Linked DNA regions of Astyanax mexicanus. The protein of the gene in region 1 purifies or fractionates together with the protein of each later gene. This does not show direct contact. Links are inferred from orthologs where the notes say so. Each region holds a gene or a part of one and is shown in the gene's direction. Other genes may lie near its edges.

What was found. The genes of interacting proteins can lie anywhere in the genome.
Region 2: the proteins of pan2 (region 1) and pan3 purify together in Homo sapiens (co-immunoprecipitation; 5 studies listed by BioGRID and IntAct, with this or other methods). This does not show direct contact. The link is inferred for Astyanax mexicanus from reciprocal best matches to the Homo sapiens genes PAN2 and PAN3.

The regions. Positions count from the first base shown.
Region 1 is NC_064420.1:44,624,560-44,631,576, forward strand, and holds the start of pan2 (PAN2-PAN3 deadenylation complex catalytic subunit PAN2), read left to right. Parts: upstream 1-4,016; 5' UTR 4,017-4,119; intron 4,120-6,664; 5' UTR 6,665-6,680; coding exon 6,681-6,956; intron 6,957-7,017. UniProt on the Homo sapiens protein: Catalytic subunit of the poly(A)-nuclease (PAN) deadenylation complex, one of two cytoplasmic mRNA deadenylases involved in general and miRNA-mediated mRNA turnover.
Region 2 is NC_064408.1:96,473,912-96,481,291, forward strand, and holds the start of pan3 (PAN2-PAN3 deadenylation complex subunit PAN3), read left to right. Parts: upstream 1-4,361; 5' UTR 4,362-4,655; coding exon 4,656-5,052; intron 5,053-7,218; coding exon 7,219-7,340; intron 7,341-7,380. Other genes in the region: receptor-type tyrosine-protein kinase FLT3, read right to left, coding at 344-489, 1,355-1,443, 1,747-1,777. UniProt on the Homo sapiens protein: Regulatory subunit of the poly(A)-nuclease (PAN) deadenylation complex, one of two cytoplasmic mRNA deadenylases involved in general and miRNA-mediated mRNA turnover.

The DNA.
Region 1 (7,017 bases):
ACCAGCAGATGGTGATCCAGTTTTAGGCCATGTCACCAATATAATGGTCATCTTTAATGACACCATCTTCATTCAACTTCAGAGTTTACAGTGTGAAGGTGTGTAATGCATCATACTGGTAGGGAATTCCACCAGAAGAATATGTTGTGGTGTTTCATGTTAATGGAAATTTATTAATTCTCATCTTCAAATTGTGTTTTTATGTGAAATCAGAAAATTACCCTAAAGTTCACCGCAGGTGTGCCCAAACCACAGATCTACTGCTCTGAGGAGTTTGAAACACACCTGGCTTTTAATACCAAGATGATTGTAAACTGTTATTACGTAAATCAGATGTGTTGGCTTAGGGGTGGTAAATCTCCAGGACCAGGTTTGAGCACCTCCGGTTTACAGAATTTGCTCAATCTCACTATATATACTATACTATATTTGCTTGTCATTTAAAAGCATCAATATACCTGACTATACAATAATAATGCCGGAAAGGTTCATCCAGGTGTTGTCGTCATGATGATATAAAGCATACAGTTATTTTTCTGATGAAATTTCTTTACCAGTTTACTGACAGTCACTTACTTCTAATTTTAAAATCTCAAGTTGAATCCAAGATGGTGGCATAGAAGATATCCACTATGTTTCCCCCTTCAGCCACAGCTTGTGTCTAAAACTGGGTCAATTTCTGCTACACTGTTTTATTTTACTTGGATTTTTTTATATATAGCATCTTTGACAGGGTATCTGCAGATGATGATAATTAAAATCTTTATTTAGCTAGTTAATCATCATATAATACAATAACTATCAACACTACAAACATTGTCAGCAAATTATGCAATCCTTTAGAATTCTTACAGTATTAAAAGAAAAAAACATTAACATAATTTAATCTTTAAATAATATAAATGATCTTTATAAATTGCCCTACATACCATTTTTTGAAAACTGAACATGAAATCTATGTTAGCGTTATTTCATAGTTTAATTCCAACAACAGATATACATCTCCTTTTAGTCTCATTTCTAGCTTTTTGTACAACAAATTTACTTTTATTTTAATGTTTTTTTTTTCTATTAATTCATTCATCGTCAATACCCGCTTTATCTGTCAGGGTCACGGGGTCGAATTCAGCACTTCCTCATGGGAGAGGCTGCAGGTGACATGACTATTTTCATTATTTCTTAGGAGTCAGCATAGCTTATAACAGCATTTTGGATAATTTCATTTTCTAAAAAAAGTTAAAGCCAAGAAGCCGAGAGGGGGTGCTTTTCCTTGCAGTGGTGCTGAATTCGGCACAGTACTGGCATCAGGTGAAAATGCTTCTTTTAGATGGATAAAAAGTTTCTTAAAAAGTCATTTAGTTCAAAACTAAATCCTTAATTTGTCTCCCAAAGGTCTCCCTTAAAATGTCACAGACAGAAAATAGATATATATTTAAAAAAAATATATATATATATATATATATATAGTTTTGTTTCCAGCTATATATTGCATTATACAGTATTTATATATATATAATTTTATATATATATATATATATATATATATATATATATAGTGTATGATGCAATATAAACAATGTAAACAATATAAAACCTACATGGAGGATGTGTGATTTATTATTCACACAAAATCTGTCAGCAGCTTACAAGCACTACATCTACACTCAACCAAACCACCATGTGACCTTCATCTGATTACATCACTTGTTTCTTCCATTTAATACAAAACAATAGAGTCAGAGTGTACATTTCTCACTTCAGCCTTAACTCCAACTAAACCAAATCCCATCATTCATCTCTCAGCGCAGAGTTTCATTGGGGTTGGGGCAATTTTTTAATTCCAACGAAGCCTAAACTACACCTCTCATGGCTCTCATAGAATTTCCATCATTTGGCACACAGACCCCGATATTCCTAGAATTCCAGCCGTAATGATCTTATTGTCCAGTCTGTACAGTTGCAGAAATGTTGTGCTCTTTTTTGTGGTTCAGGAGCACGTGCTGAACTTTGTACAGAGGAAGTGGGTTGGTGGCTTCATCTGTAAGTCATTCTTACAGATAGCCTGAGTGTGTGTCTCTTTACGTCAGGCCTCAGATTCACACCCTCAGTATTACGTGACTGTTAGCTTCTGTCTGCCCCACTAAATTCCCTTTGATTAAGTTAGATCAATAACTCTGTCAGAAAGTACAGGGACATAAAATACCAGTGAAAAAATATTTTCTCACACCGCTGTATGATATCAAAAATGGCTTTTCCCTTCTTATCTTCTGTCAGCCTGTCATGAGTGGGGAAGCCTTATTTTGATTTCTACAGTATTAAAGATGGGATTAGTCATGATCATAAATGATCAGTCATTGGTTAGTCAAAGCAGATGTATATTTAGAAATACACCTTACACTCTAAGAAATATAAGTACAGATTTGTACTTAAAAGAGTACAAAGCTTGTCGCTGGGGCTGTACCTTATATTGAGGTACAAAAAAGTACCTTTCAGTGAAAGTCCTTTTTTGTACCCATGGCTTTTGTGCCAGTAAAGATTATAAAGATTATAAACATTATCATCAACTAAATATGGCTCAAAAACTTGATGATACAAAATTGTCTGGCTTTCAAATAAAAAATGTGCAATTTAAATATATATTGTTTATTAGTACAGTGATACAGAATACTGAATGTACCTTTTGTCTGGTTAAATGGTACAAATTTGTACTTACTGCCGTTAGAAATGACTTTGTACTTCAAAGGGAACACATCTGACCCTGTAAAGACCAATATTGTACCTTTGAGGGTACAATTATAAAGAGTGTACCTTCGAGTACAAAAAAGTACTCATATCGTACCTCTGTTTCTTAGAGTGTATGATGTATTATGGAATGTATTTATATTGATTACCAACATTGTTAAATGGTTAAAAATGTTAAATGGTTGTGTTAAATATTATTTGGGATATTTCTAACATATGCAATATTTGAATATGGCTGACAAACAGTTGTTTTTATGTTAATGTTTTGTCTCCATGAGCTAAATACAAAAATGAATAAAACATGAACACAAGTTATATATTAACCAAGCTTTCTATAAATAGATTACCACACATTAAATGAGTCAATGAGTGACGTTTGACTCTTTCATTTATATCAGTGCTGTAATCCAGCAAAATAGGGAAGGCAAATGAATTAGTTTCTCTCTGGTAGATTTTCTTTATCTTCTTTATCAGCGTATGTGTTTATGTATGTATGAGTTAGAAGATAAAACTGCAGATACCTGTAGCTCATGGTGCACCTTTTTGTGTCATGCCCATATAATAAACTCTGAGTACAAATGGTGTAATTTTTAGATGTTCATAGAATGACTAATCAGTTATTTTAGTTTACCTAAAATTCTGATTAAATTTACTATACATCTTTCCTTGTGGTCAAATGAAGGGCCATTAAAAAGATACAACATTCCAACGGGCATCATGTATTTTCTTCATTATTGCATATTATTTCACATAACATATAAGATTAAGACCTGCTGTCCATCATATATACATTTATCAGCCAATTTAACAGCAGTTCAGCCTCGCCCTCTACATTAAAAAAAATCTGCACACTGAAGTAAAGCATGGCAGTATTACGTCTAATGAGGTACCAGGAAATGTTTCGTTTATTTTACCACTTAGGAATGATTTGTGAAAAAAAAAAAAAAAAAAAAAAAAAAAAAAAAAAATATATATATATATATATATATATATATATATATATATATATATATATAAAAGTTATATAGAATACAAATATAATCTTTAATTATATTTAATATTTAATATTTTATTATTTTATTTATTACATTACATATATTGTTTTTAAATGCATTGCAGACAGAAAAAAAACATTCTTATATTATAAAAATCATTCTTATATTTTTTAGCACTGGAATTAGTTCAGGTCTGAAAGGGATGTATTGGATTTTGAGGGGGTCAGACTGTGATGGTGGTGTCTGCAGCAGGTGTTGTGCCGCAGAGTGACCCGCGTGCAGTCTGTGCTCCCGGAAGCGGAATCGGGCTGTATTGTTGTTGTTTTGAATGGCTGGAGTGATGAGCAGAGGAGCCACCGCTAATTCCCTTCATATTCTCACAGTATGACCTTCATATTCACATTTATAGCCTGTGCTGAAACACCGGACTATATTATTCCTATAGCTAGAGTTACAGCGCCCTTGAGTTTTTATTTTCTCTGAAATTCACTGTTTTATATGGAATGTGCAGCTTTAGCACGAGAGCTAATGCTAACGGTCTGTAGGCTTTGCTGGCTGGATACTGGATAGCTAGTTAAAAAACGGGGGTTTTAACTCAAAAACTAATATTATATTGTCGCGTAATATTGTTTTAGCCTGAGGAGAAGCAGGGCAATTATATTAAAACACAGTTAGGTTAACTAGCTGGCTAGTTAACCTAGTAGTGCTGGGTGGTATGACCGAAAATGTCTTTATATCACGGTATTTTTAATATTAATTACAGCTCTGGAAAAAAACAAGGGACCACTTCAGCTTTTAAATTAGTTTCTCTGATTTTGCTGTTTATTGGTAAAAAGTTGTATGTTTGAGTAAAATGAACATTGTTGTATTATTCTACGGACAACATTTCTCCCAAATTCCAAATAAAAATTGAGACGTGTATTTGCAGCATGAGAAATAACAAAAAAGATGCAGAGCTTCCAGACCTCAAATAATGCAAATAAAATAAGTTTTAGAGTTCAGAAATTAATATTTGGTGGAATAACTCTTGTTTTAATCACAGTTTTATGCATCTTGGCATGTTCACTTCCACCAGTCTTACACACTGTTTTTAGATAACTTTATGCCACTGCTGGTGCAAAAATTCAAGCAGTTCAGCTTGGTTTGATGGCTTGTCATCCATCTTCCTCTTGATTATATTCCAGAGCTATATATAAGATTGTATATTAGTTTTTTCATGACTGGAGTTTTAATTAGGTTTCTGACTTACTGCCTTAAATTAAGTTAATTTAGTTCAATTCATATTTAGCTACTTATATAGCACTTTGTAAAAAAAAGTTGTCACAAAGTAGCTTTACAGAGAAAACAGGTCCAAGCATTTTTGAACAAGCACCACAGAGATGCCAATAATTGTGGAGGCAACAGTGGCAAGGAAAAACTCTCTTACATAAAGAGAAAGAAAACCTAGGAGGAACCAAGTCAGAGAAACCCATCCCCCTCGGGTCGACCCACACAGTACAAACAAATAACAGAACAAGACAACATTACAGAGAGATAATGTGGAGCTATAGCTAATGTAAAACAGGTTCTGAGTTATGAGTGTAACAGGTAATGGGCACATAATGGATAATGGAGAGCTATAGCTATTAATATATTTAAAAGGGCTATAGTTACTGGTCTTGAATGTTTTTTTAACCTCATATCCAGTGTTCTGGGGAGTTTTATCACTGGTGCTGAATAAATGATTTTGTATCCAGGACTGATTCTGGCTCGCCTGGGAGACAAGAGAAACTGTTTTCAAACTGTTTGCTTAATTGCTTATTGCTTTTGCTATTGCTATTGCTTAATTCCATTCGTTACTGTTTGCTGTTGTTTTTTATTTTACTCGGACAAAAACACTCATACAGTGAGGAGCAGCAGCAGGAGCTCCTTAGGTAAAGCGCTGTTCTCATTTTTCTCCAGGCAGGATAGCTCTAGACAAGCGTTTGACTCCACAGAGCTGAGCTTCTAGTGTGTTAGCTAGTGAGCTGTGCCAGTTTGCTTTTTTTGTGAAAGAATATGTAAAGAAATATATTTGGCTGTTTATACTCTTTCTCTGGTCCTAGAGACCTTCTCCTACCTTGCAATATTTTTGGTTCTTCCTTTCTCTAAAAGACCTGATTTGAATGATCAGCTGGTTATCAAAAGTCAAAATCTAAATTTAAGTTTGCATATACACAGAGACACCTAAGCTTCCAAAAGTTATATTTTCCTCTCATAAATATGATTAATGGCATTAAGGATTAAATCACTCCTTCAGTGTAATTAACCCAAAAGAGCCCAGACCCATTTCTGAACATTGATACCAATTTCAAAATCAGACCAGACTAAATTAAATAAGCAGCTCATTCACGTTTGTTTCTTATTGAGAGCAAATGACTGTAAATATTTTAGTTAAAATCCTAATGTAAAATAGCTAAAGAGTACAACAACAATTTTATAGAATGCAACATTCTGTATAGAGTAGATCAAACTCTCTGTAGTTTTACCACTCCTGCAATTTAACAATTTGTTCTCTTAGTTAGTTAATCGTTCCTTCAGTTTAATTAATGTGTTGCCTCAATTTAATCAATTGCCCCACAGTTTTAAAAACCTGTTCCTTCAGTTTAATACATTGTTCCCAGTGCAATTTAAGTTCCTTAGATTAAAAAAAAATCCATTTCCTCAATTTAATCAATGGTTTCTCAGTTTAAAGAAGTTTAGTTAACCTGAGCAAATCATTTATTAAATTAAGGGGAGCCTTTTTAGAGCTTTAAAGCTAGCTACCTTGATATTTTAGAAGCTTTCTCTTAACCTGTTGAGGACATATAGTCCTCCAAAGATCCTTATTTGCAGTAGAACTGAGTATTCAGTGCTTTTCAGTATGTTTCAGTATGTCTTTAACTGTATGTTTTGTTTGTGCTCCACAGTAGCACCTCCGTCCTCATGATGAACTTCGAGGGTTTGGATCCAGGCCTGGGCGACTATGCCCCGGGCCTGCACGGGAGCCTGGAGCCCGGCCTGGATTCCTCCCTCGACCCTGCTCTGCTCCAGGGTGTGGAGCTGGACCCTGACGCCCTGGCCGTGCCTGTGCCCGAGTCCGTGCACCTGCTGGAAGGCATGTACTCTGAGCTCCACAGCGTGGCTGCAGAAGTCGGCATTCCTGTGACAGCCACTCACTTTGACCTGCAGGAAGAGCTGCTGTGGATGGGGAACCACCGGGTAAGCTGACACACTCAACCACAGATGACACCATCTATTGTTGTTACTTTGACAAGGGTTG
Region 2 (7,380 bases), on another chromosome or scaffold:
CTCTGCATCAAAACCAGCTTGTGCAGTTCTGAAACAGAAACATCAGGTTGGGAGGAATTAATACCGCACTATCGACCCATCCACTTATAGCAGCCTGTGAGACAGATTAATCTGTTATTATACACAGGTTCAGTCACATTAACTGACACTGAACTACATCAGCAATGAACAAACAGTGCTGAAGAAAGATATTTAACCTCTAGCTTAGTATGATGGGCTAACCTGCCATTAGCAATAGGAACCCCTTAGCCAGTTTAGCAAATGTGATAATGTGAAAATACCCTTATCCAAAATAGATAAATTGCAGTGGTATTATTAACTAGACAAAGACAAACAAACACACCTTTGTGCCCAGAAGCATGGAGTAGAATTTCCAGAACTGTTTCCCAAAGGTGTAAAGTGAATTTCAGCGACCTGTCCTACCAGGACCTCCAGCCTTACTGTCTGAAACCCTTTTAGGGCCTCTTCAGACAAGCTGCATGTAACAGTCTGCAACAAGACAGCATAATCAGAAACCATTGCTCTGCATATTAAAGTCACAGTTCTAGAGTTGGAAATCAATGTTTTTCATAATATAAAACCAATTTGGTTAAAGATAAATATAAAATATGTGTAGTATAAAAGACCTGTTTAATTTTACAAGTTTCAAATAATTCATAGGACAGAAAATGGAACAATTAGAGAACTGTAGAATGACTGCTGTACATCACCATTATTGAAATTGTAAACAAAAAAACCCCTGAAATTCCTCTAAACACAGAATTACAGTATATGGTTTGTCATACCATTTAATATTCTTTTTCTCCAAAGCATATTTAAAATATTAAATTAAGTATATATTTTAATATTAAGACATATTAATAATATTAAAGGTATCATCCTCAGGTTATCATTGTATAAAAATGTAAGCTAACTGATTCCAAACTTTTATTTAATAGTTTTGTAATAATGTTTATCAAGCGAATGCAGTGTTATTTTTCATTTAAGAAATAATACAAAGTAATTACACAAGGCGCAATCGTCTATAAATGTCACAGAGAAGTGAAGAAGGTATTGTAATGTTTAAGGCAGCTGTGGTGGGTTCCACACTTCTGCATTTGTTGCTACTGTGTAAGTTCTGCTTTTATTCTTCGTCAACTAAATGACCTCATTTACAAAAAATAAATTTTGACATTTCAAAGTACAAAGAAATTGAACAAGCTCAGTGAAGCCCCAGACTAATTTCCAAAACTAATTCTTATAAACTTTCTTACAGTAATACACTTAGTTTTACTGTAACTCTCACACCCACACAACCAGAAAAGCACAGAACTTGATGAAAATAATTTCATTAATAAAAGAAATTAAAATTTACAGTTTCATTGGAGACACAGGGCAGGCGATGCTCTTGTATGTCTCCATCCTGCAGCCGGTCACTGCAGACAAGTACACACCACTGCAGTACTTCAGTGCAAAAAAAAAAAAAAAGTGAAAGCTTTACAAAAAGAACTGAAATAATTCTTGAGTACTAAAAGAAGCCAATATGAGTAATAGAAATTTATCACATCACCACCAACAATAAAAACCTGCTACAATTAGAACAATGCTGTAATACTCATAATAATAACAATAATAACAGAAAGAAAATTAACATCACGGTAAAATTAAAATGCACTATGAAGATGGTACAGTTACTCAACAGCACACATAATTTTAACAAATTAGGATCTGATTAGCAAACCTGTTTTTTGCATTAGGGTTACTTACCCAACAACAACGTGTTTTGTCTTAACTGCATCGTTTGAGTTCATAACAGCACACCAGAGGAGCACCAGCCACAAAATGGGATGTGGAGAGTAGAGAGACGCATAGACTTTCAAGCCTCACGCCCCCAACCTCTCATGCACTTTGTGGTTTCCTTCAGAAGGTGACAAAGTTTCTGAACTATGATGACTTTAAGACGAGAGACATTTATTTATGCACACATAATAAGTGTTCAACATTGTAAACATTTAACGTTGATCAAATTAAGACCGTCAGAGTCTAACCAGTTAAGAAAATTTGGGTAGTATGGCTTGACCTTTTCCTTTCTTGTTTAACATTTTTATTTTCAATCTTTAAAGTGTATTGTTAAAGGTTTATTTAATAAATGTTACTAACGTGAAAAATATTTTAATTGCTGACTAAGTATCTAATAATTTATTTGGTTTTATATTAATATTACTAAGAGATGAGACATTATGTGTAAAAACAGATTTCTGAATTTTTCGTGCCCTTTAACACTTTTCTTAAACATTTCAATTTGATTCATTTTAAATCTAAATCCCTCACAATTTGTCTATAGCATTTGCACTGTTCACTCCATACAGACACTCACTCTTCCATTCTGTTACTTTAAGATATTGTTGCTTGTTTTCTGGTGTATGTTGTCTTTTATGTGCAATATCCTTCTTGTATGTGGATTTATGCAATATCCCTATTTCTCCTGTTGCCCACGATATGTACTTTGTGTTGTCTGCAAGACGATGCTGTTTTTAATGTATACCTATAATGCATATGACATGAAATCTTACTTGAACTTGAACTTCTTTTTTAAAGGTACAAGATTAGTTAATTTAAACATATATAAAAACTGTCCTGTTGTAAATATCACATGTTGATGTTTACTTTATGTTATTTCACAATGTATTGTTCTTATTGTACTGTTTTAAATAATTTGAGATCAATGGGTCTAAAATGATACGATGGTGGATACCAGAAGTACAACTACAAATAATTATAATAATAGATATTTTGATTCATAATATAATTAGTTTTATTGTGTTTTACCTTTACTATGCTTAAAGGTCCAGCATCTATGTGAACTCCAAATGCTAATGCTTCGAGATTAAAAAAGCAAAATTTGAATACAATTTTATTAGACTTTATATTACATTTAAGACATGCTCTTTATGTGTTAATAGATTAGTTCTTCATGACTAACTAGAATCCCTAGTGTTTACTAATGCTAACCTGGGCCTTTAAGGAAAAGAAATGATCTAAAAATATATATATATTTTTAATTATTGTTTAAAAAAAAAGTTTTTTGGCTTACAGCTGGTTAGTAGCAATGGAAAAAAGTGTCAATTTACAAATCCTTTGTAGTAAGTGCTGGTACAGATTGTAAAAATAAAATAATCGAGCAACATTTTTTTATTATTATTAAGTAAACTGCTATCTCATTATTTTGACATACTAAATCATCATTTTAGATACTATTCCAATACTTTATGTAATTATTTTGAGATACTAAGTAATTATTTTGAGATACTATCTCAATATTTTAAGGTACTAAGTCATTATTTTGAGATACTAAGTCTTGTTTTTGGGGGGTAAAAAGTTTTTTTTTTCCCTCCAGTGAAGCCTACCAAACAAAACATACAGCATAGTCGGAGCCAGAGCCACACTCTTCAACACACTAAAATAGTAGTCCAGTTTCTGATATTAAATAAAAAAAAAAGAAAAGGCAGGAATGGGCTTCCATAGATAACTCTATGGTATGGAAGCCCATTTCCGCCACCTGAAAAAAAAAAAAAACTTCCTCAACTAAGTCATAATTATGAGATAGAAAAGTCATAATTATGGGATAGTAAGTCATAATTATGAGATAGTAAGTCATAATTATGAGATACTAAGTCATAATTATGAGATAGTAAGTCATAATTATGAGATAAAAAAGTCATAATTATGAGATAGATAGTCATATTTATGAGATAAAAAGTCATAATTATGAGATACTAAGTCATAATTATGAGATACAAAGTCATAATTATGAGATACAAAGTCATAATTATGAGATGACTTTTTATCTCATGAATATGACTTACTATCTCATAATTATGAATTAGTATCTCATAATTATGACTTACTATCTCATAATAATGACTTACTATCTCATAATTATGACTTACTATCTCATAATAATGACTTACTATCTCATAATAATGACTTAGTTGAGGACGTTTTTTTTTTCTTCAGGTGGCGGAAATGGGCTTCCATATAACTCTGTATCTATTAAAGAGAAATTCTTTTAAATATCTTTAGAGAAATTACGGATGAAGCGGTGAATACCCGTTTCTTACACCTTGAAAGACTCTTGTAAACTGGAGAAAACTGGTGGTGCATGAAGAGTCACATGGCAACAAACCTTTAGCTCAGCTTAGTCTCAGTTTCAGCAGCAGTGAAGTGCAGTAATAAAGTCAAAACAAAAATCCTATTTATAAAGCTTTATTTATATTTATTTATATAATTATATGTATAGTATATACAGTATATGAAGCCCCTAGTGTCTGCTAAAGCTAACTGCAGCGTTAGCCCCCATAATGCACAGCGAGGCTAGTTAGTTAGCGCTTAGCTGAAAACAACAACAGCAGCAGCAGCAGCGGCGCTGAATAACAACAGCGGCGGCGGCGGGGGACAGATTTCAGCACAGCGGCGCAGCTTGTGCCGCTTTTCCCGAAGCACAATGTCCGCCTGAGTTACTCTGGCTGGATGTTCGCCCTCATTTTGGCACAGGTTTTGACTGCAGAGCGCCGAGTGTGCTGTTGGACTAGTGTGTTTTAGGAGCCCCCCCCTCCCTAGGTCTCCCCCTCTCCCTCCCCGTCTATGGTAGAGCGTACTCCGGCGGCGGCGGTGCCATGAACAGCGGACTCCCACCCTCAGCCGCTCCGCTCGGGGGGGTGGGGATACCAGGCGTGAAGGTGAAGTTTTGCCGCTACTACGCGAAAGACAAGACTTGCTTTTATGGAGACGAGTGTCAGTTCGTGCATGAGGACCCGACTCTGGCCAGCATGCCTGTGCACGGCGGCGGCAGTGCTGCTGGTGGAGGAGGCGCCGCTGGAGGAGGTGGTGGTGGAGGCAGCCCTGTGCCTTTCTCCATGGCGGGAGGCGGCGGGACGGCAGCTGGGTATCCGCTTGGGGGCGGCGCGGTGGTAGCAGCGGCGGCCTGTGCGGGCACTGCTCCCACAAGTGTCCCCAAAAAGAGCGATGCCCTCGGGCCAGCTGGGGCAGCTCTGGACGGGCAACTTCTAACCAGTAAGTTGGCGCTCAGTGGTAGTGCTGGGGTCTGGGGAGGAAACTGAGAGGACAGCATGGGGCCTAGAAGCCTAGGAAGCCCTGCTTGTTTGTGTTGACTAAAGCACGGGGCCTTAGAGCGGGCTTGTTCATAAATCGAGGCCGAGGATTCAGCGAGGCCTCATTCCCTCCACCAAAACTAGTAGCTTAGCTAACTAGCTTAGCTAGCTAGCTAACTAATAGTCTCAACTCTTAAAACTACACAAGGAAACCGAGAGAAGCTTATATTCCTGTGCACTGTACAGTTAACTAGTCAGACGGAGTGTGGAAATTCTGGAAAAGTGTTTTAAAAGAGGTTCCAGCTCGTTCGTGAAGGTGTTTATATGGGCCGAAGCTGGAGCTGCACCACCTGTCATTGTTTGAGGGTGAAAAGCTGAAGCAGCCTCGCCGTGCTGGTGAAGCTAACCGCTGAAGTCAGGCAGTGTTTTTGTGATTTAACTAGAGGGTTTTGTGTGGCTGGGGAAGTTCTGGAGCTGTTACTTCTAACCCGCATTGTCAGCTCTTTCCTGCAGCAGTTGCAGGGTTTGTGTGTTTAGGAAAGCTCCTCCATGCTTTGTTTTTCAAAGTTGCTTTCTTTTATTTTAAAGCACTACTGTCTAAACAGAGAGTCCCCAGTAAGATATTTGCTCATACCTCCACCCTGAACAAGAGTGAAGAAGATAACCCTTCTTCTTTTTAGTTTTTATAATGTTTATGAATTACTACCAAAAAGCGCGGTGTGCGTCAGCTGACCAAACTGTTTACGTCTTTCCGAGCAGGCATGTGATTGGCTGATATTCAGTTGGACAGTTTCTACCTTTCTAGCTTTGCACATGCTCTCTGTTCATCTGTTTCATTATTTAGGAGCAATAACCTGAATAAACCCGTGATATTACATTGACATTAACATTCAGTGTAATGTTAACATTAAATATAACAAATGTCAGACTCCCCTATGTGGTTCACTTTAAGAGATGGAATATAGGTACTGGATAATATTTTTCAGACAAATTTGGAGAGAGGTGTAATTTTTCTCGTAATGTTTATTAACTAAACATTGCGTTCTGAATTGCATCAGTTTGTTTGTATTAGGCCGGTCATGATGATTACATTATCAGTCTATCGTACAGTAAATGAACATGTCCTCAATAATATTAGATTATCATATTATCATCTATCGTGTTTGCTTGTTCACATATGTAATGGTGAACAGTATTTTAAACAGTCAGGCAGTGACCATTTCAATAACTGTGACTCTATACACACAGTGTGAACTGCAGTAGCTGAAGAAAAAAGTTTATATTTCTCAAACTGTGTTTAATTCAAATTTTGTTGTCTTTAACCGAAAAACCTGTCCTCAGACTCTTAACTTCTCCAGTTGTAGGCCAAGGGAATAACAGCATGAATTATTCTGCAATGCTGTTTTAAAAAACCTACTATATAACAGTTGTCACGCCCCTTAATGCCACACAACCTTTTGGCAATGGCATGTAGGTATCAGTGTGTATTTGTGTGTAACAGATTTTAGTAGAAAATGATGATCTGATAGGTAAGGTGGACTATTCTATCCAATCCTGTATTACATCCCTTGTGAAACCAACACTGTAAAATGTGTTGTAAACTTTGTGTTTCTTCCTGTGAGGTCATAGTGCCATGTACAACCAGCTGTTTCTAAGAATGCCACCCCTGTTGTGCCATGAAATAAGTGCAAGTTAACTTGATAAAAACTAGTTTGCAAAAAAAAGTTTTAAAGTTGGTAAAAGCTCTCTGTGGTGCGCTGATATCTCATTTAATAAAGCTTTTTATTTTCAGGATTACAGATTTGTGTTCTAAAATTGTTTTGCTGTTGATGGGATGATTCGTGATTCCAGGGCTTGAATTCACTTTTTATTTATATACATTTTAACAGTTTAACTGGAAATTAATTTGTACAAATAAATGTTTTCGAAGGACTGATTTATTAAGTTAATGTAATAGCTTGTAACAGATTAAGGTGTACGTGGTATAATGCAGTAACCTTTAATATACTTTTAATATAAACCTTATTTATATGTCTTATTTTATCATGTCACAATTAACAAATAAGAGTGATTTGTCCCTGTTGGATACAATTCATAAATATGGATGTTTGTGTATGTCTTGTTTCAGTCCCTGGGATGGACAGTGGGGCACTGAGTGATGCAAATCTGACCAACTCCTATTTCAGCAGCAGCTTTATTGGGGTCAATGGGTTTGGGAGCCCAGCAGAGTCCAAATATTCAATGATGCAGGTGCGTATGTGAATTCACAGCCTACGTTCTTCTCACACTA